Linked DNA regions of Cricetulus griseus. The protein of the gene in region 2 purifies or fractionates together with the protein of the main gene of each other region. This does not show direct contact. Links are inferred from orthologs where the notes say so. Each region holds a gene or a part of one and is shown on either strand. Other genes may lie near its edges.

Region 1 (16,468 bases), on a different chromosome or scaffold from region 2:
TTAGTTGAGAATCACGATGCACGAATGCTATATGCTCCAGTATAAGGTTACTTGCTGGAATCCTGAAGGAGCTCTTGCACCTTTCCGTTTACTTCTGCTTTGTCAGTACTTAGAAAGTGGTGGTTTTTTTGTTTGTTTGTTTGTTTGTTTGTTTTTGCAAGCCCATCTCCCAGAAATGTGCTGTTAGCTGCAGATAATCAATTAGCTTAGGCCTGTTCTGACTGTAGTATACCCTGGGAAGAGCTCTTCTAAACAGAAGGTTCTGAGGCATTTCTTTTTATCCAGTTTATTGTGGCCCAGTTTCTAGTTTATGAGTTAGTTTGCATGGGTGTTGAGAAAAAGTCATCGCTATCAAGTATAGAAAGGTTAAGTGAGGGGCTGGATAGATGGCTCAGCCAATTAAGGGCACTGGCTGCTCTTCCAGAGGACCAGGGTTCAAGTCCCAGCACCTATATAGCAGCTTACAACTGTCTGGAACATCAGTTCCAGGGGATCTGGTGATCTCTTTGCCTTCCATGAATACTAGGTATGTACATGGAATTCAGACACGTGTGCAAGCAAAACACCCAGGCACATAAAAATAAGAAAAGAAAGGTTTAAGTGAGTAGGCACATGGGATATTTTGATTCTCTAGTTACTTATATTAAGGCGGAAAAAATACAAAGCCTGTGGGCTCATGCTAGTGAGAGGTTAATTGGTCCCTAGCTGGAATTGTTTTCGTCTTGGTGTATAGAAATAAGAATGCTTTGAACTACTGACCAATGATTCTTCAGTATACCTGCATTTGTGCGTTTGTTTGAAAGTATTATGCTTGAAACTAGGTTTACACTGACTGTTTTCTGTTGGTGTAGGTTTAATGGAAAAATCAAACACCATTTACTCAAATTCATCAGAATCGTTTCTTCCTGGAATTTGCAAAGAATTGATTGGTTCATCAATAGACTTTCTTGGACAGAGTTATGACGAAGAAAAAACTATAGCAGATAGCCTGATAAATAATCTCCTTAAACTTTATAATGGACTGTTTGCCATTTCCAAAGCCCATGAAGAACAGGATGAAGAAAGTCAAAATAACTGTAAGTAATTCTACTGCTTCTGCCAACGCCCATGACAGGGATTCTTTGCCCTTTACTCTTGTTTTGGGATGATTATTTGATGCATCTCTCGACTATGTTTAGCTGCTTTAATGGTGCCAGTACGTGAGTTCTTTTATCTGGACGCTATTCCTTGCAGTAATTTTCCCTCTTCTTTCCCAGTGTTCTCTTCTGACCGGGCAGCACAGGCATTCACTGTCCAGATTGCTTGTGCCTTTGAGCAGCTCGTGGTTTTGTTCAAACACTGGCTGGATGATTTTCCACCTGGTACCAGCTCAGCGAGGCTTGAAGATGAATTGAGACAAGATATTAAAAAACTGGGAGGCTATTTACAATTGTTTTTGCAGGTACATTGATTTTTTATTTTTGAAGAATTCATTTGTTCTGAAAGTATTTATTGGCTCTCTACCACCTGTATCTTCACTAAAATTACCTCTGAGGATTTCCGGGTGCTTCCTGTTTTGGGGTCCTAGGTCTAGATGCAATTGGTTTATTGAGCAAAAATTTGGTGTCCTCTGTGTCCTAAGTGGTTTGCAGATAACTGGTTCATTTTGTCCTCATGACAATCCTCAAATGGGTGCTGCTGTCACCATTTTATAGATGAGGAAGTAGAGGCTTGGGAAATGACTAGCTCAGCCAGTGTTCTGTAGCTACTGGGTAATAGGAGTGGCTTTGAATGCATGCTGTCCTGGTTGGTTATAGTCTGCTAGCCTCCAGTTAAGGTCAACTGGGTAGAGAGAGGTAGAGTCTTGCTCTGACTGTGGGTTGGCTTTCAGCTCATGCTAAATTCATAGCAAACCTGTTGATTTCAGGTTTTGTTTCTTGCTTACTTTGTGTCAAGTAACATTGGGTTTGGCCACCAGGAGGACGCAAGACAAAAGTAAAGCTTGTTTTCTGTCTGCTAGAATGCAGAGGTAGGCATGGAGTTTCTTCTGCACAAAGGCGGGATCCCAACTCCTTGCTCTCCCCTCTGCTGCCTGAAGTGTGGACTTGACCTCCTCATGCTCTGTTTGAGTTGACAGAGCACCGTCTGAGTTGTGTGTGTGTGGTGTGGACAAGGAAAGGCCCTTCCTTTAAAGGGAGTTTTTATGAGACGTCCTACAGTACTCATGTATGCTTGGCCAGAATTTTACCTGACTGCATCTAGCCATATAGTTAATCAAGAAGTGGATTTTTTTTTTTTTTTATTCTAGGTACCTATGGATCAAGTTAAAAATCAAGGTTCCATTTTTGTAGAAAAAGTAGGGAACTAATGTTGAAAAATATCTCTTTGTTGCCATACCAGAGATCTCTATGAAAATTTCTCAAATAGGTGGATATTTAAACTTTCTAGAATATTTGGTCAAGTTTTATGTAGTGATATCCAATACATGCACATCATGGTATATGCGTGGAGGTCCAGGGCAACTTCAGGAGTCAGTTTTTTCTTTCTGCCATGTAGGTTCCAGAGACCAAACTCAGGTCATAGGGCTTGATGGAAGCCTCCTTTACCCACCAAGCCAGCCCTCTTACAGGCCCCGAGACTTGCCACATTTTTGTAGTGTAATTTTTATTGTGACAAGTACTTCCTGAGTGGGCTATGTTAGGGAAATATTTACTATCCATTGTTTTTTCCCTCAGGAGAACTTCCTTAGTCTCTCCAGTTTGGTTGGGTACCTCTCTTGTTTGGTTTTTTTGTTAGCCCTGAGTAAAGCTACTCGTTATGCTTGTTAATATACTATACTGTTGATAAGCATGTGTGCTTCGGCGACATTGGCTTTCTGTAGGTGTAGGACTCATGTGTCTTTTCACAAGGCCTCTTGATGTAATAGCAAGCTAGTTGGACATTTGCTGTTAAATGAATCTTAAATTCACATCAAATGAAGGCTTACTTTGAATATGGACATCAGGGAAAGAGAGGAATGTAACATGTGGACTACAGACAGAGGTGGGCAGACTTCAGGTGAAGAAGATCTGACAGCATAGAGCCATGAACATGGAAGCATGGGGTTGGTCAGAGAGCAAAGCTCTCATTCTGTAATGAGGGTATGACTTAGGTTAAACCCTAACGAAGGAATACAGCTCAGGATGGTCTGTGGTAGAAATGAAAGGGGTAGTTTAAGAGTGTGTGTGTGTATGTATGGTGAAGGAATGTAGCTCAGGACAGCCTGTAGTAGAAATGAAAGAGGGGCAGCTTGTGTGTAGTGTATGGGAGGGGGGAGCGGAATATACCCACAAACTAGGAACTCATTGTTGATATTTGAAATCCCATGTTTAAATCTATGCTATGTTAATTTGTGTCTTTAGGCAAATTGCTTAGCTTCTTGAGTCTCTCCATTTTCTTACCTGAAAATAAAAACAGTAATGTCTACCTGGCAGGGTTGCTGTGATTATCAGATGAAATCATGGTATAAGAGAGTACCTGAGAGGCAGGCATATCTCTGATTTCAAGGCCAGACTGTTCTACAGAGCGAGTTCCAAGACAGCCATGAGAGATACTCTGCTCAAAAGAAAAAAAATGAAAAAAAGGACGAAGAAAAGAAAAATTGATGAGAGAGAGAGAGAGAGAGAGAGAGAGAGAGAGAGAGAGAGAGAGAGAATATATCTGGTGGAGTCTGTACCATGGAATTTCTTTCCTTTTCTTTATTTTCCGGGAAGAAGGCTTTGAACTTGACTTAAGAGTTTCAACACACATGCTTGTGAGACACATTCTATACAAGGAATGAAGGCTGGAGACCCGGGTGACTGGGATTGGGCTCAGGAAGACTCGTGTGAAGCCAGTGCTAGCCAGCATACTTATCTAGTAATGTGTGGCTTGGCACCTTGTAGTGGTATAATGAGTGTCTTCCATATAGCAGGTCAAGGCGGGCACTGTCAGAGCCACAGGAGAGAGGACCAGAAAGAAGAATGTTCCTGTGCCTTGGAGGCCTGGGCACTGAGCGCATATGGGAAGGCTGTCATTTAGGTGTTAACAGGACAGTTAAAGCTGAAAGGCCAAAGTCACACCATTTTGTTCCTCTTCCTGACATTTCCTTACCAATCCTGTCTTGGGTCCTGACATTTCCAAGTACAAAGTTACTTGCTTTACATCTCCCTTTACTGTGTCAAGTCTTTGAGGGAGGAAGAAGCTGGCTCTTCTTCATGAGTAACTTCAGGGCTGCATGCTTTCAGTTTCTCACGTGCATTCCAGTGGTTGTTACATTATGAATTTTATTTTGATGTGTATGGAATTTCCTTGCATGCATGCCTGTGTTCCACATATGTGCCTGTTGCCCTCAGAGCACAGAAGGGGGTGTCAGATCCTCTGGAACTTCAGTTCCAGAAGATTGTGAACTACCTATTGTGGGTGCTAGGAATCAAACCTTGGTCCTCCGGAAGAGCAGTCAGTACCCTTAGTCTACTGAGCTCTCTCCAGCTCTGTTGTTATTTTTAGCTGGTATTGGGGCCTTAAGGGCAGCCCCTCATGCTTGCTAGCTTCACCCACTATCCCTTTTTTCTTTCTCACCTCTTAAAAATCTCATATATGTATATACTGACTGATTGATTTTTATTTCATTAGGGGTGCTGTTCAGATATTTCATCAATGATACAAGAGGCTCAAAACAAAGTCGTCCAGATTATACAGCAAGCTGCTCAGTGTGTGGGTCAGCTAGCCGTTTTGAAAGGGAGCAAGCTTTGTCTTCTGGAGAATAGCAGCAAGATTCCTGGCGCCCGGGTAATGTCTAATGTAAGCTCTAAAAGACTTCTGCGGGGACATTAGAGATTTCTGATAGCATCACTGCACAGAATAAGTTCATTGTACTTGCAATAGTTTGGCAATGACTTAATAGTTTGGTCAACATTAGATAAAATAAGTCTGGGATGTACCTCCGTTGGTATTTTGCATAGCATGCATGAGTTTGAGCTCTAGCACTATATAAAGGATGTGGTAGTACACATTTGTAGTCCAGCCTTAGGAGGCAGACAGGAAGATCAGAAGGACAAGATCATTCTTGGCTATTGAGGCCAGCCTGGGTTACATGAGTGCCTTTCTCAAACAAACAAAAATGATTAAAATATGATTGGATGATTATAGGTCTTTACAATCCTTTCAGAGCTAGGCAGTGGTGGCACACACCTTTAGTCCCAGCATTCAGAAGGCAGAGGCAGGTGGATCTTTGTAAGTTCAAGGCCATCCTGAACTACATAGTGAGTTCCAGGACAGCAAGACCTTGTCTCAGAAAGCAAACAATCCTTTTGGTGCTAGGGATAGGGTGCTTGCCTAGCACTTAGGGGTTGAGGATCGAAGAACAGGGACAGCTTGGGCTAGTGAGACCAATCTCAAAAACATCAAAAGATGTTCCTTTTGTTCTATGGTTTGATGACTGCTATCAACTGTGGAGCGTGGTCTCATCCAGTTTATACATGGGGAAAACAGTAACTATAGAATATTTGTATTTGCCCACCTTGTTTATGCTATAAGCAATACTGTATTAAAATGTATTATATCCTAGCAAATAAGGTCCTACCTAAAGTGGACATTTTTTCCATAGCACATGGAATACTAATTTTAATTTTGTTAGTTTTATTTCCCTCATGGATTGTTCTCATACTAACTTTAGCTGAATTTAATAAACTGGGAATGAATTATATCTTCATTACCATGTAATTTTGAAGAGTATGTACATGAGATGGGTAGTGGTGAAGGTGCTAGCCATCAAGCCTGATTCCTCAGTCCATCCCTTAGAGCCACATGGTAGAAATAAAGAAGCAACTCCTGCCAGTTGTCCTGTGACCCCCATGTGCGCTCTCTCTCTCTCTCTCTCTCTCTCTCTCTCTCTCTCTCTCTCTCTCTCTCTCTCTCGCTGCCTCTGTCTCTCTCTCACACGTACACACAATGTAATCAAATTTTAATGTGTAAAACCTGAGCTTACCAGCTCAGTGCCTGACCCTTTTCCTAACAGGAGTTCACAGCTGCCCTCCAGGATGGCATGGCCTTGGGGATAAAAAGCCTCTTAGCTTCTGGGCTGGAAAAAGTCCAGGACCTGGAGGGAAACCTCTCACGGCAGAGTGCACATGAGGAGGTAAGATGGGTGGGGTGATACACTTGATCTTAAAAATGGTTTTATTTTAGGATGTATATTGTCCAAACTTCTTTAAATGTCCAAATGATAGTGTGATGCAGTGGGTTCTATTGTGACATGTTATGTATTTTAATTTGTGCTGAATTAGTTTTTAAAGAAGAGGCAGAGACCAGGTCTATGGAGGGTGGCAGCAACACCTACTGTCCACTCTCTGGACGTCCTTCTCAATCTTTCTGTTGGGTTTTTTACTCCTCTGCCTAAAAGCAGAAGCCATCACTTATGGATCCAATCATCTTGAATTAAGTATTTTTCCAGGAACATTCACACCAGTGGTTTCACACCAAGACATAGACACAGAACCTAGTGGAGATGTCGGTGACGTCCTCCAAGTGCTTCTGCCTCCTTCCAGACACTGAAGCACGAGCAATGCTAGGAGTGGAGGCTGGAGAGACACCCCAAGTGTTCTCGTAGAGGACTGCACCCACATGGTGGCTCACAGCAGTCTGTAACCCCAGTTTCTGGTGATCTGATGCCCTATTCTGCCCTCTGAGGGCATTAGCCACGTATGTGGTCCACAGATATACATACAGGCAAAATACCCATGCACATAAAATAAAACTTTTAAAAATTAAAAAAAAGAAATATTAGAAACAGTGGCTGGCAAATTCTAAACTGCTGGTCTCGATTGTACGTTTGCATTCTCTGAATATGTCTGCCTCTCTTGATTGTGTGTTTTGTTCTTTTGTTTGGGCACGTGCTTTTAATTCCAGCACTTGGGAGGCAGAGGCAGGTGGATCTCTGTGAGTTTCGAGGCCAACCTGGTCTACAGAGTGAGTTCTAGGACAGCCAGGACTGTTGCACAGAGAAACCCTGTCTTGAAAAACAAACAAAAAAAAGTCGTAAGAGCCTGTGGCAGGGGCTGGAGCAGTGACTCATTAGGTGGGTTTGAATCTCTGCACCCACTTCAGGCAGCTCACAGCCACCTCCACTCCAGCTCCAGAAGATCTCACACTCTCTTCTGGCCTGTGGGCACTGACCTCATGTGTGTTTGCACACACACAAATAAAATAACAATCAGAATTACATTATACTTTTTAAAAGGACCTATAGCAAAAAATGGAATACCCAAGAAGTAGAAAAATAGTAAGAGAAATAGAAAGTAGACTAATAGAGGGCTGGAATTATGACTTCAAAGCTGGGTTCTTGAAGTAAAGAATTTAGGTATACCTACATTCTTTTCTTCTTTTGGGAGATAGTCTTACCTTGTAGTTCTGGTTGGCCAGGAACTTTCTTTGTTGTCCAGGCAGGCTTGAACCTTTCAGTAATCCCCCTGCCTCTCACTCCATGGCCTACTTATCTTCTTACTGTAACAGCAAGTTTGAGCTGACCTAGACAAGAGCTTAGTGAAAGCCAATTAAACACAACACTGAATCCCCTTGCAGAAGCTTAGTTCCACCTGACGGGGGCAACAGTGAGCAGCAGAAAGCAACTTTATTGTTTAGTCTGAGTCACACTGCTTCTGAGAGCTAGGGGTTACTGTCCGGGATCTGATTCTCAGTCTGCAAGATGGGAAATGCCATAGGCAGCATAAGGTTGTAACTGAGAATCAGATCAAACTTGTAATGTTCTCGGAGCATATTTGCTTAATAACTCACACCCTCACTTCTGAGGGAAATTTTGGGACGTTCATCCCTATAAATATTTAAATAAAATGCAGGCATCATTTTGGTAGCAGACATCAGATTTATGTTTTATCTTATTTATAATCAATTTTACATTTTACTATATTTATAATTTATAAAATATGTTTATAACATGTTTATGTTATTATTATTATTGCATTGTGCATGTGGAGACCTGCATATCACATATATGTGGCAATCAGAACACAACTTTGAGAAGTCAGTTCATTCACTCTTCCCACCTTAAATGAGGAGTTCCAGGATCAACCTTAGGTCCACAGGCTTATGCAGCAAGTGACTGCCTCTGCTGAGCCCAAGTGTGGCTTTTTTGATATGGAATCAATGTCATTTATTTCGAAGGAAATTCCATTCGCATGATTTAAGTAGTCTCAAAGCCATTTTCTGCTTAGCTCAGAGATGGAACTTCCATCTCTTATGGATTCTAGATTAGAACTCTGTCTGGTCTCACACAGGTCTAAAAATGATATGTCTCTTGATGACTGTTTGTATAACAAAATATTTTAACATTTTCTGTAGGTCACCAGGCGGATGAAGGCTAATGCTGTGGAACTGGTCAGGTCTCTGGCAAACATCTTTGCTGAATGGAGACTAGTAAGATGGGCTTTCAGTCAATTTTTGTTCACATTTGCTTCAGTTGTAGATCTTTTTGTTTCCTTGGCGTCATAGCTGGAGACAGCTATGTTGTGCATGTTAACAGAGCACGTGTGTTTCCTAGGTTTCCTTTTGGTGGTCTTACTGCACTCGTGTTAGTAATAGGTACACGATGGCACAGGAACTTCCCAGTGCATCACCTGGTTTGTAGTTACTGGCATAGGGGCTGCCAGCTTTTTCTTGAGTATAGTCATTATAGGCTAAAAAACCACTTTTTATAATTAATGTGCTCAAATAGTGTCAAATAGAGTTAAATTCAAGTAGTGTCATGTCACAGATCCACTTTATAGAAAAGGATAGAGGGGATAATCAGGCCTGGAAAGGAAAGTAATGCCCAAGCCAAAGAGTATTTAAGTAAAGTCAATATTGAAAGTAAATCCTGTGAAACTGAATTCTTTGAGGTTAAATGTTAGCTTTTATGGTGTTGGGTACCATGGCGCTGTTGCTTCATTCTGTTCCTATGTGCTAGTAAATTCTTACTGCTTTTTAAAAGTAATCAGTGTGAGCAAATTGAGAGCACAGGAAGAGGGGGGAGGGAGCTATGAGAATGAGAAGGGAAGAAGAGGAAGGATGCAGAGGTCATGAGGGAGCAGAAAGCTTGAGTCAGGGGAAGAATAGAAGAAAGGATATGTGATAGGTAGGGTTTTAGTTGGGGGGGTGGTAGGGGAGGACGGGAGGGAGAAGGGAACTGGGATTGACATGTAAAACAATCTTGTTTCTAATTCAAATAAAAAATCTGAAATGAAAAAACAATGAACAAAAAAATTTAAATACTCATAAGCATCATGTCAAAAAAAAAGTAATCAGTGTTCAGCCGGGCGTTGGTCACGCATGCCTTTAGTCCCAGCACTCAGGGAGGCAGAGGCAGGTGGATCTCTGGAGTTGGAGACCAACCTGGTCTACAAGAGCTAGTTCCACAACAGCCTCCAAAGCCACAGAGAAACTCTGTCTTGAAAAACCAAAAAAATAAAATAATAATAATAATAATAATAATAATAATAATCAGTGTTCATTTTGTATTTTTATCTTGCTTATAGAAATGAAGTTATACACTGGTGAGGAAATTAAACATTTTCAATATAATTTGTTATTAATGTAGTTTCATTGTCATAATAGCATAAACAAACAAATGATAAATTTCTGGGCAATTAAGATCATTTTGACTAAATTTGCTGCCATGTAATCTATAATATCTATATTTTTAAATATAAATTTTGTTTATACAGAAAAGCTTCAGAACTCAAGTACAAGAAAATTCTAGACAACAAGGTTCCAAGATGTTAACTCTTGCATCAGAATTCTTGAAGTTAAAATATTGCTTGGAGAAAACTATTGAGATTATTACATCTGCACTGAGAGGTAAGTGACCCAAGTGGGATCTGGAACTGGAACTGTGTAATCCAAGGACCCACACATGTCTGTCTGTCTCCCTCCCTCCCTCCCTCCCCCTCCCTCCCTCCCCCCTCTCTCTCTCTCTCTCTCTCTCTCTCTCTCTCTCTCTCTCTCCCTCTTGCAGCCTGAGCTATAACTAAAGCTCACTGAACATTACTCCAGTGAGATTAGTTACCAGTGTAGGAGCTTGGGCTGTGAAGTGCTGCGTAACACAAGGCTGCACTTCCGCCTGTACAGTCAGGGAAGTCGAGTACCTGTCCAAGAGGCAATCAGTGGTTTGGTGTGTCATGTGGGCTGCTTTAACTTAAGAGACCCCTAGAGTCTATGCAATGGTAATACCTGCTGGCACCTGGAAAGGGTAACCCACTTTTTCCTTTCCCTCTTGTGTAGGGTGCCCCAGTGACCTGCATTGTCTCAGAAGCTATACTGAAACTCTCTGCGGCCTGGCTCACAAACTTCACAGTGACTTCACTGAGCCCCCTGCTTCTGCTGGCAACTGTGGGAATAAAGTACCTCGGGCTGATTATGGAGAACTAGAATCTCTAGCCAAATCACTCCTCTTGTGTTTTGAATGTGGAGAAAGACCTGGTTTGTTGCAACCCCAGGAGTCTTGTAATCAAAACAGCAAGGAAGAGCAGCGTGAGGCAAGCGGGGCTGACTGCAGTAGAGGCTTGCCAACACAGGCCTGGGAACTACCCAGAGACCCAGTAGCCCCCGAAGTGTCCTCACAGGACTGCACTCCCAATAGGATCCAGTGGGTGTGAAACCATCACATATGCTCCTGGTGACCGTTCATAACCAGAAAGAACGCTTGCTGACACTTTTCCTCACATAGGAGACCATACAAAGAAATGGATGCAAATGTTTAGAGTCTGTGTCTATGCATAGCTTCCTGTCAGGTGTGGGTAATGCCAGCAGTATGGAGTCCTGATTTCAAAATGCCTTGGTGTGTGCTCAGAATTTTCTAAGCAGACTACTTTCAAACAAGGAGTTTACCATGTTGGAACAGTGGCATTAGAATGAAATTAGGGTCTCAGGACCACGTGAGTGACTGTGTCTCCAATTTCCCGTTGCCTTGAATTCTAAACGCCAACCTTGAACACTGAGATACTGTCCTGACTGGTTCATTAGTCTGTTTGTAGATGTGTATTTTCTCATGAATGGAAATCTGAAAAGTTTGTTTCTTTCCCCCATATATTGCATAGAAGATTAGGCTTATGGTGAAATTCTCAACACAAGTTTAACTAAGGCAGCTTACTGCAACTCTTTCGAATGGTTAACTGTTTGCCACCTTCAGTAATAAATGTATAATCTGTGTCTTTTCAAGCCGTAACCACCTAAAGATAATATAATTACATACTATGACTAGATAGCATTATAATTTATGGTGTTATCTATGTTCCATAATGGGGCTATATTCATAAAATTTTAAAATAGCATCACATGGGGGATCAGAGGCTGGCCCTTTTTTTGATAGTGCTTGTTTTGCCAAAGGGAAATTTGTTTACATGTTGTTCAATGGAGATTAAAGATCCTTGTATTTCACAGCTTTAAAAACTCCTTCACCTACAATCAAGTAATAAAGATAATATCCTACTTTAGGGTTTAACTTAAGGAAATAGTTTAACATTTTGACCACAAGAATATGTATAATTTGGGCTGGAGAGATGGTTCAGTGGTTAAGAACGCTGGCTGCTCTTCCAGAGGTCCTGCGTTCAATTCCCAGCAACTACATGGTGGCTCACAACCATCTACAATGAGATCTGGTGGCCTATAGGTGTACATGCAGGCAGAACATAATAATAAGTAAATATACATAATAAATAAATCGTAAAAAAAAAAAAAAGAATATGTGTAATTTACGAAGATACATAGTATCTTTGCCTGGGTGACCTAAGCAGCTCCTGGAGAGATTCTCTTTCGCTTGTGGGTGCTACTTGTCAATGCTACATTAATTGTAGCTGGGTGAAGCCGGTTTGAGTACACCTGTCATTTTCTCTGGGGGAAAGACTGTAAAGTAGCCTGGGGTGGTCAGCCAGGCAGTGACACGTCTGCTTGTGGTGCTTTGAAGTGGTAAAGTGTGGTCACCAGGCCTCCCTGGGTGCACCACTCCTGTCTCATGTAGCAACGCAAGAGATTTGTTTCCATTGCCTTCTTTTATTTTTGCCACGTTTTCTTTCTGAGGTTCACTGTGGATGGGTCAGTGTTCTGGAAAGTAGCCCTTATGTTACTATTTGACAAACTGAAGTACACAGAAAGACCTGTCCTGAAGGTTGTACTTCCTCGAACTCACCAATTTACCATAATTAGCCGGAGATTTCACCTTGCTGCACAGCAGTTAATCTTCAGTTTCTCCATCCCTTCTCCCTCAGTTTTTTCTGTCTTTGAGACATGGTCCTGCTGGGTAGCCCAGTGTGGCCTATCCCTGTTATCTTGCTGCCTTCACCTCCTAAGTGCCGGGGTTATAGTGCACACCCCAAACCACACTAGTGTCTATTCTCTAAACTCATGTCTGTCCTCAGAAATGTTTCAGGTATGCTTGTAAGCTTATTTATATTTATGCCGGATAATTTGTTATACTGTATTTGAGTGAATGGTGTAAATATGTCGCTGTTAGAATCATGTGCACTGAAAAGTGTTATAAAGAGAGTGCTTTAATAAATCTTGTGAGCTTCAGAATTGCCTCCTAGTCCAAAATCTTTTTATTGAATTATTGTCATTCCCTTTACTCCTGATTCAGAAATGTCACAGTAGCTCTGCCTGGCTAATATCTCTCCTAATTTGCAAATCGAATAAATAGGAAGCAGTAAACGAATGCTAAAATTATTGTGGTTACTGTGCCACTTTGGGAGCCAAGGACTGAATCCAGGTGGAACACTGTTCCACCCTCTTGAGTTGGTTGAGCATGGAAGAGCCTTACTTCCCTGTTGAGCAAGTGCTTGGAAGCTGTGCTTGTTTTTTACATATTTGAAAGCTGCATTGCAGGCTGCAATACAGGCTACACAACCTCAAGGAGCTAGCTGCCTCATCCCTGGTTCCTCATCTGCAGAAGGAAAAGTCCCATGGACTGTGTCTGTAGTCACTAAGTGGGAGAGAGGAAGAATGGCTCTTGGCCAGTAGTAGGTGATAAGCAAATGTTAGCTGCCCTTCCGTAGCTAGCTGCAAAACCGTGTTATACAAACAAGATCATGGTGGATGCGGTGGCACACGCCTTTAGTCCAGCACTTGGGAGGTAGAGGCAGGTAGATCTCTGAGTTCGAGGCCAGCATGGTCTATAGAGTGAGTTCCAGGAGAGCCAGGGCTATGCAAAGAAACCCTGTCTCAAAAAACAAATAAGCAATACCACACTTGGTACAAGCAGATGCCAGTGTACGAGTATCAGAGTCCTTGAAGCATGGTGTGTTTAAAAGTATATCCACCTGCACTGGGTTCCACAATAACTGATATAATATAAAGACAGTGAATTCTATAGTGTTTACATCATCTTCACGTATCTTTTGGTGTGTGTATACTGCAGTTGCCCAATCTGCTCAATATTGTAATGTGATGGTTAGTTTTAATTTTCAAGGTGGCACATTTAGAGTCTCCTGGGAATGGACTCTCACTAAGGGATTATCTAGGTCAGGTTGGCCTGTGGACATGTCTGTGGGGGGTTGTCTTGAGTACATTTAGTTGAGGTGGCACTAGTCCCTGGCAGAGGATTCTGAACTGTATAAGATGGAGAAAGTGAACTAAGCTCTAACATGTGCATTAATTCATTGTTCTCTGCTCTTGACTGGGAACAAATGAATAGCTGCTTCCGGTTCCTGCAGCCTTGACTTATCCGCAATGATGGACTGTAGCCTAAAGGTAGCCGAATAAGCTGTCTCCTTTAAGTTGGCTTTTGTCGGGGTGTTTCATCATAGAAAAGAAACTAGGAGCAGTTAACGGTTTCCAAAATGACATCCTTGTGCAATTCCCTTTAGTAATTTTATTATAAAATGTATCACATGTCAACAGAGTAAAAGCATCCTTGTGCCTGCTTCAATTCAAGCTCCAGGACTTTGACAGTAGTCATGAACACTCATGCCTCAGGCAGGGGTGTCTGAGTGCAGGCCTTTGTGTGTGAGCAGCTGCCTTCTTGCCTGTAAACATGGGGCTTGGTAGGTCCTGGTGGACCTAGGTTGCTTCTCTTTGTCTCTACAAGCTAAACTGAACCCACTTTGAACTTATTCTTTCCCAGTTGGTGCCCTTATGGGCCATACATCACCAGCACGCTTTCCTGAGAGGACCATTGCCCCAATCCATCATCCAGGTGAGTGGGGGCTTTCCTAATGTATTGCTCTTATACATCAATGTGGTGGGCGGCAGCTCCAGTAATCTATTAGCGTGATACCCCATTGGGTGAGGCATATTGATAGAGCAAAGCTGGTCAATCTGTGAATTGTGGATATCTAGGAGTCTAGGTCGAGAGAGCAATGCAGATCTCAGGCTGGATTGATGTGGCTATGAATGGTATTTTATGATGTAAAGTTTACCTCTGATTTAGAAAGTAATTTAACATTGGTGACAGCCTGGGTTCAGGCAGGGAAAGGTCAACGTGGCAGATATCTGGAGCTCTTGGAAGATGTATTCCAGGAATAAAGTACCGTTGTTGATACTTCTATTTCATTTTGTAATATGTCATTGGGGGCACCAGAAAATTGGCCCGAGAGTAAAGTTTTGCACATAAAGCAAAACAGGCTCATTCTGCTGCCTTTCAGGTCAATAAATATGCAGGAGTGCGGCCTCTGGAAGCCTGTGGCCATCAGCTTTCACTGCTCAGAGCTGCTTTCTCAGGGTCTCATTCTTGACCCTGATGTTTATTAAACAAAGCAACGGTCAGTGTATCACCTCTTCATGGCTCCTGCAAGGCTCTGGAAGCAAGCAGAAACAGTGTCTGGGCAGAAGAACAGGGGTACAGAAGACACAAAGGCAGCCCCCAGTGAATGTCCAGTGGGGACTGGAAAGGGGACACATTGTGCTTTTTTTTTAATATGTATGGATGATTTGCCTGTGTACTGTGTGTCTGTGTACTGCACGTATGTCTGGTGCCTTTGGAAACCAGAAGAGGGCATCAGATTCCCTAGAGCTAGAGTCATAGATAGTTATGAGCTGCCATGTGAGTGCTGGGAATCAAATCTGGGTCCTTTGGAAGAGCAGCCAGTGTTTTTAACCACTGAACCATCTCTCCAGCCTTTTGACCTTTCCCCCCACTCCAAGTGATAAGATTATGTGGCAGCTTCTGACTAGGCAGAGGAAGAATGTTCTGGTGACTCTCAAGTGGTCCATAGCTTCATTCCATATTAGTCCCCCTTCTGCAGTTCCAGACAACTCTCTCTGACAGGGTTAGTATTTGTCTTGACTCTCATAGGATATATTGTTAACATTGTCACATTTTGTTATTATTTACTACTATTCATCTCTTAATGTGCCTAATTTATGTTACTTTAGCACAGGTATGGGTAGTTATAAAATACATTTGTTATATATGTAATATCTATACACGTATAGGGTTTGATATTATTCATGGTTCTGGGCTTCCATGAGGGATCTTGGAAAACAAACAAACAAAAAAAAACAACAACAAAAAAAACAAAACCATGGACTACAGCATAAAACAATGACAGCAATCTCTCATTAAACATCACTTACTCATATCACTAGTAAGTAACAGCCTACATCAACTCAGGTAATCTTTAAAACAATCGTGTCAGTTAGGTACTGTCTTAGTGTTCTATTTCTGAGAAGAGACACCATGACCAAGGCAATCTTATAGAAGAAAGCACTTAATTGGGGTTTGCTTATAGTTACAGAGCACCTGATCCTGTTCAAAAGAGATTGCAATGTTAGGATACTCATTTTAATATGTGTTCTGCCCCCATCAGATAGAAAACCTTTGTGTGTTGGTTACTTTTCTGTTGCTGTGATGAAATACCACAGTCAAAGACAACTTAAAAAGTAAAGAGTTTATTTATCATTATTCTATGTGCATTGTTGTTTTCCATGGGTGCCAGATCCCCTAGAACTGGAGTTAGAGACAGTTGTAAGCTGCCATATGGGTGCTGGAAATTGAACCCAGGTCCTCTGGAAGAGCAGCCAACGCTCTTAACCACTGAACCATCTCTCCAGCCCCCCAAAATAAAGCATTTATTTGGGCTTAGTTTCATAGGGAGCGTGTGTAATAGGGGAGGTGTAGCAGGCAGCCAGGCCAAAAAGCTGAGGGATCCCATCTTCACCACAAGGCAGAGACAGCCAACTGCAAGCAAGACAAGGCTATACTCTCAAAGTCAGCCTCCAGCAAGGCCCCACCTCCCAAAGGCTCCTTAACCTCCCCAAGCAGCACCGCCCACTGGGGGCTAGGTGTTCAAATGCCTGAGCTTAAGAGGGACTTTTTCTCATTTACACCACAAGTCTTTGAAAGAATGAGCATGTTTCCCGATTCTTGCCACACATGACAAATGGATGTGTGCATGACTTAGTTCGCTGACATTTTCAATTCATCCTGCTGTCCAGATGTATGGTCTGAATGACAAGAACTAGAACAGAGGTGGCACTAAGGCTCTCT
Region 2 (16,023 bases):
GGCCTTGTACTCTCGGTGAAGCTGTGGATGGCCTTTCGTTTCTGCACGGCCTGTCTTCAGTTCCCAAGTGCTAGGATTACAGGTGTGTGCCTTCTTGACCTGACGTGGTGGTGCACGCTAGGCAAGTACTCTGCCAACTGAGCTACAGTCCCGGCTTCAGAGGCCTCTCACACCTTATCAGCAGATGCTCAGGGTGGGGGTGGGGTGGGGGATGGGTGGGGGTGTCTCTATAAGTTCGAGATCAGCCTGGTCCTACAGAGCTAGTCCCAGGACAGTCATAGCTACACAAGGAAACCCTGTCTCAAAAAATAAAAACAAACAAAAAAAGAGTGACTTAAAAAAAGAAAAAACAAGTAAACAAATTTCAAGTCAGAGCATTTGAACATATCTTTAGATTTAGTAAACATACCTTGTTGAATTTACACGCCAAATCTATTATTTTTACATATGTAGAAAAATGCCATAATGAAACACATTACTTTGTATGCTTAAAATATTATTTATTTATTTATTTATTGGTTTTTCGAGACAGGGTTTCTCTGTGTAGCTTTGGAGCCTATCCTGGCACTCGCTCTGGAGACCAGGCTGGCCTTGAACATACAGAGATCCGCCTGCCTCTGATGGGATTAAAGGCGTGCGCCACCAACGCCCGGCGAATTACTTAACTTTTTACAACTTGGGGCTTTGATACATCTTCAACGAGTAAAATTCAGGCTATTTTCTGACAAGCTGGGAGTCACTTCCCTTAATGTGTAAGTGGGGAGGGAGTTAAATCTTATGAGCACCATATTAAAAAAGAAATGAATGATAAATTGCATAGAAGCAGAGTTCATGTTTCTTTAGTTATTATATAGAAGGACAGCAGGTCCTTAAACATAAAGCCACCCCTGTCACACACACACACACACACACACACACACACACACACACACACACACACACACCAGCAGCAGCAGCAGCAGGAGACAGAGCGCATTATTTGGTTTTCCCTGTTAAGACTTTCCACTGTTGTGCCTGCCTCCCTCCCCCCCACTCTGGTTTTTCAATAAAGGGTGTCTCTGTGTAGCTCTGGCTGTTCTGGAACTAGCTCTGTAGACCAGGCTGGCCTCAAACCTAGAGATCGCCTGCCTCTACCTCCTGAGTGCTGGGATTAGAGGCATGCCATTTTCTGAGTCTCTGAAGAACTGCTCTTGGGTGACTAGATCAGAGATGACTGATAGTGACAAATCTGTTGATAACAGGAAAGACAAAGACACCAGGAACCCCAAGTGAGACACTGAGAAGGAAGCCAGCCAGAGCTCTGCACTGATAGAGCTGGAGACAGCGGCTGCAGGTCACAGCACATTCAGCAGCTCACCACACCCAGCAGGCACCTCAGGTTTCTTAACTGTACTTTTCAGCCCCAGTTTTACATAGAACATTATATAACCTTGTCATTTCCTGTAGATAAAAATGTAATATTGGGTCATGACCTTCCTGAGAAAGGGAAGGGCCTGAAGAGTCTAGCTGGATTAAACGGTTACATGCACGCTAACTGTGCGGCCAAATGCAACCTTGAGCTCCTGTTCTTCCCGCCTCGGGTCTCTCAAGTGCTGGGATGTAGGTGTGTGCACTGGGTCTGTGCAGTGCTGGGATGGAATGAAGACCTTGTGCACAGTAGGTTTCAGGATACTTTCTTTTTTTATTTTTTTATTTTTTGAGACAGGGTTTCTCTGTGGCTTTGGAGGCTGTCCTGGAATTAGCTCTTGTAGACCAGGCTGGTCTAGAACTCACAGAGATCCAACTGCCTCTGCCTCCCAAGTGCTGGGGTTAAAGGCCTGTGCCACCACTGTCCGGCCTCAGGATACTTTCTTAAAACTGTTTTCCTATCCCAGATTTTATCAAAATCTACTAAAAGGGCCTGGAGGTACAGTACAATGGTGGGCACAGTGCTTAATGCACAGAAAGTTCTAACACGTCAAACAAATGATGAAAAATAATTTTAGCTGGGTGTGGTGGTACATACATACCTTTAATTCCACTCAGGAGGCAGGCACAGCTCTGTGAGTTTGAGGCCAACATGGTCTACATAGTGAATTTTGGGACAGCTTGAGCTACATTACATATTGAGACCCTGTCTCAATAAAACAAAGCAAAACAAAACAAAAAAAAAAAAGAAAAGAAAAGAAAAGAAAAAAGGTAATTTTAAAAACAAAAGAGGTGAAGATATCGGGGCTCTTTTTTTTTCTCCCTTGTTCAGAGCCTCTCTCTCTGGCTGGTAGGATGACCAAAAGGCCCATCTGTGTACCAATGTTTACAATGCAAATGTATTACAGGGTGCCAATGGCATGTTTATAATTTAGCACTTGGGAGGATGAGACAGGAGGATTGGCATGCATTCAAAGTCACAGCATCCATTGTGAGGCCAAGTGAACTACCTCCTGTTGAGGACAATAGCAAAAGAAAAGCAGCATTCCCAAAACTTGGGAGGCAGAGGCAGGTGGATCTTTGTGAGTTCAAGGACAGCCTGGTCTACACAGTAAGTTCCAAGACAGCCAGGACTATAGAGAGACCCTGTCTCAAACAACCAAAACAAAAACAAACAACAACAAAAACCCACCATCAACAACAAAAAAGTAAACAACAACAAAAAACAAAAAACAAGGGTTGGAAAGATGACTCAGCCATTAAAGGCTAAAAATAAGCAAAAAAAAAAAAAAAAAAAAAAAAAAAAAAAAAAAAAAAAAGACAAACAAATGCATCCATATGTACTGGGTCATTTAAAAATATTATTGCTGTCCAAACAACTGAGGGTTCTGTTTTTACAGTTCAAGATTAGAAACTGTTTCTTTCTTTCTTTTTTTCTTGGTTTTTCGAGACAGGGTTTCTCTGTGTAGCTTTGGAGCCTATCCTGGCACTCGCTCTGGAGACCAGGCTGGCCTCGAACTCACAGAGATCCGCCTGCCTCTGCCTCCCGAGTGCTGGGATTAAAGGCGTGGGCCACCAACGCCTGGCCTTAGAAACTGTTTCTGATAAATGAGCACATCCTCAAAGTGGCTACAGAAAGACTGTCAACTCTGGAACAGCTACTTAGAAACAAAACTGGTAACTGAAAACCTTTGTATAGTTATAATTCGGTTTGGATAAGGTGGCGTTCTAGGCCAATTTTCCTTCTTTTCATTTCTACCTGACTTGGTAGCTTGTGAAGAATTTTAGTCACGGTGCTTACAGTCCATTCGCACTATATTGCCAGAACCCACTAGCTTCGTTTTCTAAGAAATACAGGGTTCAACTAGACCTGCCTCTCAATGAGTGCTCAACTTTTATAGTAAATGAATGTACAGTTTTAAAGCCCATAACCCCATGGTCTTTGCTATCTGCTCTGTAATGTCGTACAAAGGGCCCCCTGCTTTGTGAGCAGAACATCTGAAACAGTACTCTCCAGGGAAGCAGAGCGCCTGGAGAAGATGTGTGCCAGGAGTAAGTGAACACGGCGCTGAGATTTCTGCTGATAACCAAAGTCTTAAAGCCTGAAAAGCCACAGAGAGCAAGTGACAAAGAGCAGGGTATGTTGATGTCGACAGAGATGAAGACCAGTTTTATGGTCACTGCCTGTTCTGCTTGGTGTTTGTACCCTTCGAGATCCAGTTAACACTGCCTGAGAGAAGAAAGGCAAAGACAAAAGCCATTGAGTTTGAGCATATTCTCCAAGTGTAGCAGCACTCAAAGCTCCGCAGGTACTTTTTAAATGTATAAACACTGAAGTGAGGTCACGAAAATAACCGTACCAAGAAAGGCCTGGGGGTGGGGGGCACACTGGAGAGATGGCTCAGCAGTTAAGAGCACTTACTGCTCCTGCAGAGGACCCTTTGGTACCTAGAGCCCACATGGTGGCTCACAACCATCTATTATTCCAGTTCCAGGGTGTCTGACACCCTCTTCTGACTTCCGAGGACACCACACACATGTGCATAGACATGCATGAGCATCACTCATGAACATCATCATGCATGAAAGGAAGGCTTTCGACAGAGAGGGGCGAGTTCCCTGTCACATCTCTCCTCAACAAGTTGCCTGCCCTCTTTAGCTCCTTCGAGCTTCCTCCATTCCCTTTTAAGGATGGTCTTGTGAAAAACTATTGAAGAGCAGTTATTTCATCTCAGGCTTACCATCCTAAACTCAATATGACCTAAACAGAACTCTTGCTTCTAACCCCACATAAAATTACACTTCGCTTGTGTGCTTCCTCACTGTGGCTCCTGACTCTCCTCCCTCAGAAACCTCTGGCAGGGCCATGGCTTCTGCTTCTGCCCCATCACCCTGGTTCAAGCCACCTTGTCTCTGACTTGGATCAACTGTATCAACCCATTTCCCCCAGAAGCTAGTTTTTTACTCACTCCCTTTCTCTTTCAGAAGGGGTCTCATATAACCCAGGCTGGTCCCAAACTCAGAGGGCAGCTAAAAAAGACCTCAAACTTATGATTCTCCTGCCTCCACTTCCTCAGTACTGAGACTACAGGTGTGGAGCACAACATCTAGTTCATGTGGTGCTGGGATTGAACTCGGGACTCTGAGGAGTCTGGGCAAGCACTCTATCAACTAGGCCATGTTCCCAGACCATAAGAGCTGTTTTCTTAGAATTTCTAATCAGATTGGCCAGTCCTCATGCTAAAATTCCAGGAACCATTGCACCTAGAATAAAAAACAAACTGTCCCCAACCTGCATAGCTCCCTCCATCTGACTTCTGGTGTCTGCCCCTCCTAACCCACCCCTGGTTCAGGTCCATTCCTTCCACATCTTCTGAAGTGCCAGGCTCCTTTGCAAGCTTGTTCAGTCTAGCATCCCTGGAACACTCTAATAAAGACTATATGGGTTCTACTTCATTCACTTTTCCACTCTGGGTCTCTACATTGTCCAGGCCTTCCAAATCAGCACAGCTAAACAGCACTCCTTCCCACAAATGCTTGCATTAGCACTGTATTTTCCTCACTCAGCCCCAAGGTACCTTGCTTTCTGTTTATCGGCTCTGTGAGCACAGGGCCCTGTTCTGCTCACCCCAGCATTTCAAGCTAAGAAAATGAGGATAGAGCCTGATCCACATGCACTTTAGTGAAGACTGGTGAAATTCTAACTGAATCCTACACACTGACTGCTATGCAAAGATTTGTTCCCCGGCAACCCAATCTCAAAGGAAAAGCACAATGGTTATATAAACACACACCCATAAGAAGCATCATGGAAGGCCAGTGATGGGGGCGCACGCCTTTAATCCCAGCACCCGGGAGTCAGAGACAGGCGGATCTCTGTGAGTCTGAGGCCAGCCTGGTCTACAGAGAGCCTTCCAGGATAGCCAGGGATACACAGAGAAACCCTGTCTCTAAAAAACAAAAACCAAAAAAAGAAACATCATGAAATCTTAAGAGCTTTAGGACACAAATTAATAGGCAAGCAAATGCACATACAGGGCTATTTTCTATAGCAAATCTTACAATTGATCCGGACTGTGAGCCGATCCCCCTTCCCACCCTCCAGGATGCTGACAGTGCAAGCCAGGTCCTTGCCCATGCTAGGCAAGCACTCCGACCTCTCAGCCACACCCTTAGGCCTGAATTCTGCATTTCTTTAAATGACCAGCACATATGAACAGCAGTAATTTTGATGACAATTATGATGTGGTGTATAACTACAGCAGGACTCTTTGATGATAAACTATAGTCAGTAAGGTTTTCTATTTTATAATGTGCAACGTTATTAAAGAACTATTCTCTGAGGAAGGTGACTGAGGAAATGGGAGGGGGACAAGAGAAGATAACAGGAGCATGACTGAAATATATATGTATACAAAAATGTCAAAGTGATATCTATTACTGTGAATAATTAATATATACTAATAAAACATTAAAATATTATTCTTTGGCTCTGAATAAGCTAATTCCTTCAAGATGACAAAAATGAGGCCAATTTTTATAAGAAAATGGGTTGGAGAGATGGCTCAATGGCTAAGAGCACGGGCTCCTCTTTGGAGGCCCAGGGCTTACTTGGTTCCCAGTACCCATATAGCAGTAACAACTGCCTGTAATTCCAGTTTCAGGGAAATCGGATGCCCCCTGCTGGCCTCCATAGAAACTGCATATACATGACCCACAGACATCATATACACACAAAACATTCTTACAAGAAAAAAAGGGGTAATAGAAGTGTTTACTAGTTGAACAAGTAAATTTATTAGGTGCAAGGCTTTTCGTTCTATAATTAAGATACACCATTTTACAACTTTTCGACCCCCTGGAGACAGGGTTTCTCTGTGTAACAGTCCTGGCTGTCCTGGAACTCGCTTTGTAGACCAGGCTGGCCTTGAACTCACTGAGATCTGCCTGCCTCTGCCTCCCAAGTGCTGGGATTAAAGGTGTGCACCACCACTGCCCGGCGTTTTACAACATTTTTAATTAACTTAAATTTTTAGTATTTTTAAAAGGGAAAGATTTATTTAGGAGTTTGAGAAAGTATTTTACAAAGAATGACTATAGGTAGTAGCCTTCTCAAATTCATCATAGTAACAGGTTCTTCGACCAGGCACACTACCTGTGTTGTTTCTAGTGTGAAATCCAACAAGTACTAGTCAGCAGAGGACTTAACAGTTAGAAATCAAGGCAGGAAATGTTAATATTTAAACAGGAAAACAAGCGATCAAAATGCAAAACACCTGTCACTTAGCAAGGCAATTTACATAATTAGGTATAAATTATGAATTAACTATGTTGCTTAAGGTCCTAGCATTGACTTAGGTCCTGGCTGCATCTGACGTTCAAGCGCCTTCCTCTAGCTCCGGTGTTGAAGGCTACCATGGAGCCAGTCCTGGCTCATTATGGGGTGGAGGGGGAATTCAGGTTGTATGTTTCCTTCCCTTAAGTCAGGGCCATCTTTGTTCTGAACCTCTCCATTTTTGTTGGGAGAAGACTGACCATCTCTTTACTAAGTTCTAACTCAACTTCTATTTCCTGGGCAGCCTCGGGGTGAGTTTCACAGTAATCGACAATAAATTTGTAATGTTCCAAAGATGTGGCCAAATTTTCTAGCTCTTTCTTGGGGTCTGCAGTGATGATTCTGCCATAAAGACGAGCTACTCGGAACTTAGCCAACATGGCGGGGCGGAGAACGTCCTCCCCGATGTGCTCAGGAAACACTTTATTTGGGTCCCTCAGGGAGTCTAGGAAGAGCTGGTAGTACTTGAGTGCCGACTTATTCAGGCTATTTATTTTTTTCACAATGTGTGAGTCAGGATCCCTGAGCTTGTCTGCAATAGCAACCTTCAAATCCATCATGTCATAGTAAGTGTGTGCAATTTCAAACTGAATCTGCCTGTTGACCAACAGGTAATACTGTGGATTCAAGTCCACAATCAGGGGCTCTAGCATGGCTATTCTGCGCTTGTGCATCTTGCATCGCCTCTCCATGTCAGTCTCAAAGAATGCGAGCACCTTGAACAGAGCGCTGTGGTCCTGGACAACTTCAATATGGTCAGTAACATACCCATCAATCTGGAAGAATTCTTTTGCCTCAAACACATAGTGTTGACCCAGAAGGAAAAGTTCCCTGGCTTCTTCAAAATCTAACGGTCTCAAGTATCTCACTTTCTCCTCCACTGCAGAGATGGCATCACACAACTCGCCAGTTCCAAACTGTACAGCCCTTTTCCTGATGCTCTCCTCCTCATCAAGCTCTTTCTTCCTTAATGCTCTGAGTTCCGACTGTTTGTCAAGATCAAGTTCTCCAATGTTGTCCTAAAAGGAGAAATCATAGTTAAACAGGATACTCATCTGCTGTCAAATAAAACTGTAGAGTAAACCTCAGCTAGCTATGTGATAGAGCACTCCTGTAATCCCCCAGCATTCAGGAGGCAGAGGCAGGAAGATTGCAGAATGGAGACCAGCCTGGACTAAACAACATATTCCAAGCTGGCTGGCGATACACAGCAAGGCCCAGTCTCACAAAGAGTTGGCCCTGAAGAAATGGCTTTTTTGCAGAAGACCTAGTCAGTTCCCAGTACTCATGTGCTGTCTAATAAACACCCTTATATCCAATTCCAGAAAAGCCGATGCCCTGTTTTAGCCTCCATGGGCACCAGGAGCATCGTAGTACACAGACATGCAAAAACACTAATAAATGTAAGATATAATAATTAAATCTTAAAACAATCACAAAAACCTTACTCAAGAGGCAGAGGCAGGCAGACCTCTGCGAGTTCAAGGCCAGCCTGGTCTATACAGAAGGATCCGAACAGTCAACCTAAAAGTAAAATCTGACATTGGGCAGATGGCTCACATCTGTAGTTACAGTATTCTATGGCTAAGGCGGGAGAAGGCCACAAGTCTGGGGCCAGAGTGGGCTCCATAGTGAATTCCAGGCCAGGATATACTATATGGTGGTGTCTGCCACCAATCTTGACAACCTGAGTTTGAACCCTGTGACACACAAGAAGGGAACAAAGTCCTTCAAGCTGTCCTCTGACGCCCCCTCCATGCATGTACATATATGTACATATACACATCCAAAATAAATGAATTCACTAATTAACTGCATTAAATGAAAAAAAACCTAAATTAAACAAATAACGAAAATGCAACAAGGTTGAAGCAGGTTCTGTGACCTTTTCTGAACATGCTGAGCGACTGTTCTTCTATGGGGGGGACACTGTACTGGACCACTGAGGTCTTAATATTGTTTTCCCCAAGATTTATCTATTTTTACTTAAGTGTGTGTGTGTGTGTGTGTGTGTGTGTGTGTGTGTGTGTGTGAGAGAGAGAGAGAGAGAGAGAGAGAGAGAGAGAGAGAGAGAGAGAGACTGAGTGAGTGAGTGAGTGAGTGAGTGAGTGAGTGAGCTAGTGACTGCCATGTGTCCGGGCACCCATGGAACTCCAGGCTGGCTTTACCTCACAGCCTCTGAGTGCAAGGATTACACACATGTACCACCTATCTGGCACCAGACATCTTCTGATACTTTTTCTCTTCTCTTTTTCCCCACTGCACCCACATACTCCTCCCAAGTCTCTTGAGCCAAGGTCTCCTATAGGATAATCTGGTCTTGAACTTGTTATGAAGGCAAGGATAGTCCTGAACTATCTCCAAGTGCTAGGGTTACAGGCCTGCATGACAAGACTTCATTTATGCAGTGCTGGGGACGGAACCCATGACTTTGAGCATGCTAAGTAGACACACTACCACAGAATGTCTTGTCTTTACTTGCATTTTCCAAAAAGAAATCCCCTTTTCTCAAAATTTATGCTTCTGGATTTGTTATTTTTATAGCTTTATTAGCTCTATATTATTTACAATTATAATTATTTCAGTTTACACAAAGAGAAAAACAAAAGTACAGTAACAGGAAAGTTAATGTGTCTACAGGTAATTTATTTTATATTCCTTCTTTGTGTCTAGGAACAAGGGTCCCATGTAGATTAGTAAGAATGATGAAGATATAGTGAGGATTTAGTATATTTCAGATACTCTTCTTTCAAATTAGACTTATTTAGATGTGTGTGTGTGTGTGTTGTGTGTGTGTGTGTGTGTGTGTGTGTGTGTGTGTGTGTGTTATGTGTGTGTGTCTGTATGTGTACGCACACGAGGAGGTCAGAGGACAACTTGTAGGAGTTGATTCTTTTTTACTGTAATGTGGGTCCTGAGGAGCAAACTCTGACTTGGTGGCAAACACCTTTACCTGCTAAGCCAGCTCACCAGTCCTGCCTTAGACACTCAGACACTTTCTGAGGCCTTTACATATGTTAACTCTCACCACGACAGTACTAAGCAGGCACTACCATCTCTGTTTTGCTTATGAGGAAACGGAGGCAGAGAGACCAAAATACAAACAAAAAACAAACAAACAAACAAAACAAAAACAAAGACAAAAAACCTACCAGAACAGCCAGGCAGTGGTGGCTGGTTTTAATCCCAGCACTCAGGAGACAGAGGCAGAGGCAGGTGAATCTCTGAGTTCAAGGCCAGCCTGGTCTACAGAATGAGTTCCAGGACAGTCAGGGGCTATACACAGAGAAATTGTTTCGAAAAAGAAAAGGAAAGGAGGAAGGGAGGAAGGGAGGAAGGGAGGAAGGGAGGAAGGGAGGAAGGGAGGAAGGGAGGAAGGAAGGAAAAGACAACTACCAAAAACACACAGCTACAAAGTGGCAGAACTGGGCTCACATCAGAGCTCTGGAGCTAAGCTCCTTATTGTGGCTGGTCCTATATCTAAACTTAACCACTGCATTGGCTGTGTCTTGAACCTATAAGGTTTTGTCAGTCTGGAGGTTGAGGGAGGAGCTGGCTTAAACTATGAAGTGAGACTGTTAAAAATAAAAAAAATACAAATAGGGCTAGAGGTGGTTGTTTAGTCAGGAGACTGCTAGTCATGAAAGCATGAGGACCCAGATTGGATCCCTAGGACCCATACAAAAAAACTGAGCATGGTGGCAAGTACTTGTAATCCAGGTGCTGGTGAGGCAGAGACAGGCACATCCCAGGGGCTTGCTGGCCCACTAGGCAGCCTAAACTAATCACCTAGCTCCATGTCCAGTGAGAGACTATCTAAAAAAAACCAAGGTCATCCTCTGCTTTCCTTTGCATAGACAAGCTTATACGTGCACCCACATCTGTACATACAGGCACCTAAATATACACACCCACACAACTAAAACAACAACAAAACCCACCCACAGTGAGCCTGATGAGCCCCTCTGGAAGCTGAAGGTGACTTCAATGTGCATACCTGCATGGAGAGCTGGGCGCTCTGCATCAGAGTCAAGCAGTACTTGATCCAACATCTTGCTATTTCCCCTTTCCGTTGATGGTAAAGCTCTGGCACATCTCCTTCAGCTTCAGGAGCTGAAAGCACAGGCGGGCTGTAAGCATGGTCAGCGCTGTCTGCATGGTGCACTGTCCTCTGTTCTTTCACCTTTTCCTGACTACACAGCAGCAGACGCTCACTGAGCCATGAGGCACTCAGCGCAGTGAGGCTGCAGATCCTCCCTAGTTTTCTTAGGTTACGGTCAGGGTTAAGTAAAAACGAAGGTCACAACATATTTTTACTTTTGAATAGTTTTTTCTTCATATAGTATGTCGCGAAAATTCTGACCCTACCATTACCAACTCCTGAGCTTTATTTTTAACTCAATATTACACACAATCAAACAGGTATTTCCTATTCCAGGCATTCTTCTGGTAGAGAGAACATACTGTTTCCATCCAGATCTTCCCATTATGAACAATTCTAGGCTACAGATCCCTACACATACATCTATCTAGAGTCTGGACTGGTTCCTAGAAATGGAATTTACTAGGCCAAGCAGTTTGCACAATTTAAAATATTTTAAATAAAACTGCCAAATATTTTTGACAAATGCCATATCCAACAATATTTTTGTATGCTGACAGAAAGCATGTGGCAAACAATGGACACCGTCATTTCTCCCCCTTCTTCCCAACCTCCCCCAGCCTCTGTGCTTGCCTAGCGCACACAAGACCCTTGCTTCAGTCCCTAGCATCACACACACACAAAGAAGCAACCAAACAAAACCTTTGTAATTAAGAAAGACAGTGTGAGGAGACAGCCCTTATAAAAGTAGTATATTGACCAAAATGTCAATCATGGCAAAAGGAAACATCTCATAAACCCCAAGAAACAGGAATTCAATGTAGTAACCAGCAATAGCCTTCAAAACATTATGCGATGAAAGGGCAGGAGAACCTGAGGAACTGCCCCAATGACAAGAAGACTAAAGAGACAGCTGAAGGCAACATGCAGTCTTGAGCTGTATCATATAGTACATCACTATAAAGGACTTAGAGGACAACTGATGACAGAAATAGGCACTGCAGACAGAAGGACTGTCTTGGTGTTGCATTTCCTGAAGCTGCTAACTGTCTTATGAAAGAGAGAGAGGGAAGGAAAGAGAGAGAGGGAGAGAGAGGAAGAGAAAGAGAAAGAGAGAGAGAGAGAGAGAGAGAGAGAGAGAGAGAGAGAATGTGTGTGGGTGTGTGAATTCACAAATATTGAAAATGATGAATTTAAAGGAAGATATATTGTAATTCTGTTCTTACACTTTTCTAAAGCTTAAAACAGTTTCAAATTTGAGGGCTTCATAATTAAAAGCTCTTGCTGCTTTTGCAGAGCACCTGGTTCCATTCCCAGAACCCACACTGTGGCTCACAACCATCTAACTTCAGTTCTATGGAATAAGATACCCTCTTCTGATCTCTGCAGGCACCATGCACACAGGTGACACACATACACATAAAATCAATCAATCTAAAAAAAGAAAACTAAGTTTCCGAATTTCACATAGATCTGTAATTATATAGAAGCCAGGTATGTACACTTGTCATTGGCAGTCCTTAGAAAGCTAAGGTCAAGACTGTCACAGTGAGAAACTGTATCATGAAATGCACACCAACTTACTGTCTTCTGTAGCTGGGATTTTTCCAGTTTGACCAAAAATAACATTAGCAGCAGACAGACAATGTCTGGCCTCCATAAAGCAGAGCTGTTGGGAAAGAAGCAAGAACAAATGTAACTATGACAAAGCCTTGTTTACAATTAACAGTATCTACTAACATGGGGAACACTATACTGTCAGGAAAAGTACCCCACTAATGGGGCCCTGTAGTGTTGCCATGGACAGTATTATCTGGTAAAAAAGCTACCCCAGAGAATAAACTAACAATATCCCACACTCCTGATAAGAATCCAAGCTGATGGAAAGATGACTGGAGACTGACAGTCCACTCTCCTCCTGCAACCAGGAACATGGAGCAGCCTATACTCCAATTGCCTTACCACACACCAGGTTCAGTGTAAATAGGCAAAGCCCCATGCACAGTTCATTCTTAGACCATTTACATTCTGTCAGAGTACTGAGGACTCATTCCTGTCTTTTAAAACCTTTGGAGGGAGGTGGCAAGACAATGATGTTCCCTATCCGGTTTCCAGGTCAAAAGATTTCTACAAATGAACTTTTATGGAATGACTTTGTCAATACTCATGAAGAACTCAAGATGCAAATCCGGGCACAGAAAACTTCTCAAACACTTCAAGAACATCTCTGTGTCAAACACCAAAAACTTGTCATCTGTCATGCAAACTGCAGAATCACCCAACAGATTGAAGTTAAAGTCTACTTTCTGAATGGAAGCCGCCCTCATTAGAGAGAATGTCTGCTTCGTATCAGTAAGTCTGAAAGACTGATTTGGTTGGTAGAACTTCAACAGTCATACATCTTGCCTTCACACTGAATTCAGAGTTATTGTAAAGAATAGCTGGGTACCATAGGTATGAATAGGCTGCTGGCCTATCAAGTGTTGGTAGGAAATCCCCAATCATTAGACAGTTGCAGCTCACATGAAGAAACATTACTTGGCCCTCTACAGTGTCTCAACCATCATTACCACTCTGGCTCTGCCTAGATTGTTCCTATGAACAGCCATTGCTAAAGACAGAGACTGCCTTGTGCCCTGTGGGTAGGTGGTTAATGTGGGACTTGAAGAGCAGCAAAACTGCAACAGATGGAGTTGGTAACAATGCAAATAACATCACTTTCAAGCATAGTTCAAATCTCTCTTTTTGTGACAGAACTTAGCTGGTTGTGATATGGGGGAAAACAAACAAAAAAACAAAACAAAACCAAAAACAACAGGTGTGGGGTGCAGGAGAGATGCACAAAAATTACCGCATGTTCCACAGAAGTAATGTTTAACAACTTAAGGTCACATGTTCACGATCCAGACATTTCTGTACTATAAATATCCAAGGAGTTTTAGGTGTTAACTAAAACCATATTAGGGAAGGAGCCAGCAGAGGGGTCTCTCGATGGCCATGATGAAATGGAGTCACAGGAGTTGTTTGATTGAATGCAAAAAGACTACATGCTTGATCTTAGCAGCTAACAGGCTTAGTAAGGAAAAGGCTGAGGGGAAGGCAGCAGGCCACCAGAGGTGAAAGAAGGATGCTGACAGGCTGAGAACTACCAGACGTCAGAGCTGTGAATCAGAACTAAAAATCAGTCTGCTGCTGGGCATGGTGGCACAAGCCTTTAGTCACAGTATTTGGGAGGCAGAGGCAGGCAGACATCTTTGAGTTCCAGGCCACTCTGGTCTATATAGCAAGTTTCAGGCCAGCCAGGGATACACATCGATACCCTGCCTCCCAAAAAGAGTGGCGGTCTGTGTGTGTGTGGTCAGTGTTAGAAACTAAAGGACTGGAAAAGAAATGGGTGTACTCAAAATACAACACAATGAGAAGTGATCTGGACAAGTAGCTATAGAGTTCAAACTTGTCTCTTTGGGACAGTTCAGAAGTATGTCATAAACCTGGAACTCTAGCACTCAGCATGGATTCAACATCAAAAATGATTATTAGAGAGCAGCTAACTCTGAAAAGCAACTGAAACACATCACATGCTTTTATCAAAGCCCACATTTAACTGTCAACTTCCTCAGACAAATTCTCATAGTTGTAAGATTAGCATTACATGAAGATAAAGTTTTATCTGTAGCAAGATAAAAATCTGCAATTTAAGGTAACACATAGCAAAAGTGAAATGAAAAGGGTGCTAACAGCTGGACGGAACTGATGTTAGGTAACCTGTCATCTAGCAACACATAGGGGTATGACAAAATCAGCACTTTAAAGATTCAGGGGCTTGAGAGATGGCTCAGAGGTTAAGAGCACTGACTGCTCTTCCAGAGGACCTGGGTTCAATTCTCAGCACCCATATGGCAGCTCACAAACTGTCTGTAACTTGAGTTCACACCAATGCACATAAAATAAAGTTACATAAATTATTTAAAAAAATAAAGACTCAAAAGTAGGGGGAAGGGAAAGAACATGATCAAAATACATTGCATGAAATTCTCAATAAATAAAAACATTATTTTTTTAAAAGATTCAAAAGTATTCATGCATCAAAGCACTCCAATACTGTTTTGCTAGCATAGCTGGCTGTATTCTACACCAAGTTTTAAGCAATAAAATGCCAGCTACCTGCTCTGACAGCACTACTGGACCTGTCTTCATCTAGGCTGTTGGAGAGCTAGTTTGGGATACTGACCTTATTGATGTAAAACTGTGACAGTGTGGCGGCATTGATGGCCCACTCCATGGGATGATAGGCATTGTGTTCAAGCTGGCGTTTTAGTGTGCTGTGGCAATAATGAGCTGCTTTCTCAAACATTTCCATGTGCTGGTAGACTTGAGCCAGGTAATACAGGTTATGAGTGTAAACCTTCTCAAATCTGTGAAGGGAAAAAAACCCTGACTTACATAATGGTTTACAATTTATAAGGAAATTTCATAGAGATTTGAGTTGAGCTGGCCCTTGGATCTATCCAACAAATAGGCAAACAGTCTCAGAGTTGAACAAAGGCATGTAACTTGTGGAGGTTTTAATGCACAAAAGAATCCACAGTGTATCCTGGAGGAGTGCCATGAAACAGCAAACACCATGTGTGCATTCCTGAACAAGCACCCAGTGAGACTATGGGGTACCCTGTGTCTCTATGAAGACTAACCTTTTCGATCTCTCTTGTTCTGTAAGTTTCTCTTCTTCAGGAAGAAAATGCTCAGTCGGGTCAAGAGGCGGACTCCCAATCTGTGGTTAAAGAACAGAGTTCTTTCAACTTTAAACACAAACCCAGAGCACTCTCTTGTGGAGGGACTGGAGAAATGACCTCTTTCTGAGACAGCCTCACCAAGGACCTCCGAAACTCAGGCTGGCCTAAAACTCAGGGCCCTTTAAGCTAGGACTAGAGACTAGCAGATACATAAATTTTTTTAGGATTTATTTATTATGTACACAGTGTCTGCCTGCATATACACTTGCATGCCAGAAGAGGGCATCAGATTCCATTACAGATGGTTGTGAGCCACCATATGGCTGCTGCGAACTGAACTCAGGACCTCTGGAAGAACAGTCACTGCTCTTAACCTTTGAGCCATCTCTCCAGTCCCAGATACATAATTAAACAACAACAACAACAAAAAGCAAAACGACAGGGTC

What was found.
Region 1: the proteins of Kifbp (region 2) and Kif14 purify together in Homo sapiens (affinity purification with mass spectrometry; 3 studies listed by BioGRID and IntAct, counting the BioPlex papers as one, with this or other methods). This does not show direct contact. The link is inferred for Cricetulus griseus from reciprocal best matches to the Homo sapiens genes KIFBP and KIF14.

What each region holds. Positions count from the first base shown.
Region 1 is NC_048598.1:52,731,655-52,748,122, reverse strand, and holds the end of Kif14 (kinesin-like protein KIF14), read left to right. Parts: intron 1-851; coding exon 852-1,076; intron 1,077-1,256; coding exon 1,257-1,441; intron 1,442-4,632; coding exon 4,633-4,800; intron 4,801-6,016; coding exon 6,017-6,136; intron 6,137-8,355; coding exon 8,356-8,430; intron 8,431-9,716; coding exon 9,717-9,849; intron 9,850-10,272; coding exon 10,273-10,646; 3' UTR 10,647-12,564; downstream 12,565-16,468. UniProt on the Homo sapiens protein: Microtubule motor protein that binds to microtubules with high affinity through each tubulin heterodimer and has an ATPase activity. Plays a role in many processes like cell division, cytokinesis and also in cell proliferation and apoptosis.
Region 2 is NW_023276806.1:274,629,995-274,646,017, reverse strand, and holds the end of Kifbp (KIF-binding protein), read right to left. Parts: intron 15,616-16,023; coding exon 15,536-15,615; intron 15,260-15,535; coding exon 15,076-15,259; intron 12,514-15,075; coding exon 12,429-12,513; intron 10,856-12,428; coding exon 10,740-10,855; intron 7,762-10,739; coding exon 6,886-7,761; 3' UTR 6,164-6,885; downstream 1-6,163. UniProt on the Homo sapiens protein: Activator of KIF1B plus-end-directed microtubule motor activity. Required for organization of axonal microtubules, and axonal outgrowth and maintenance during peripheral and central nervous system development.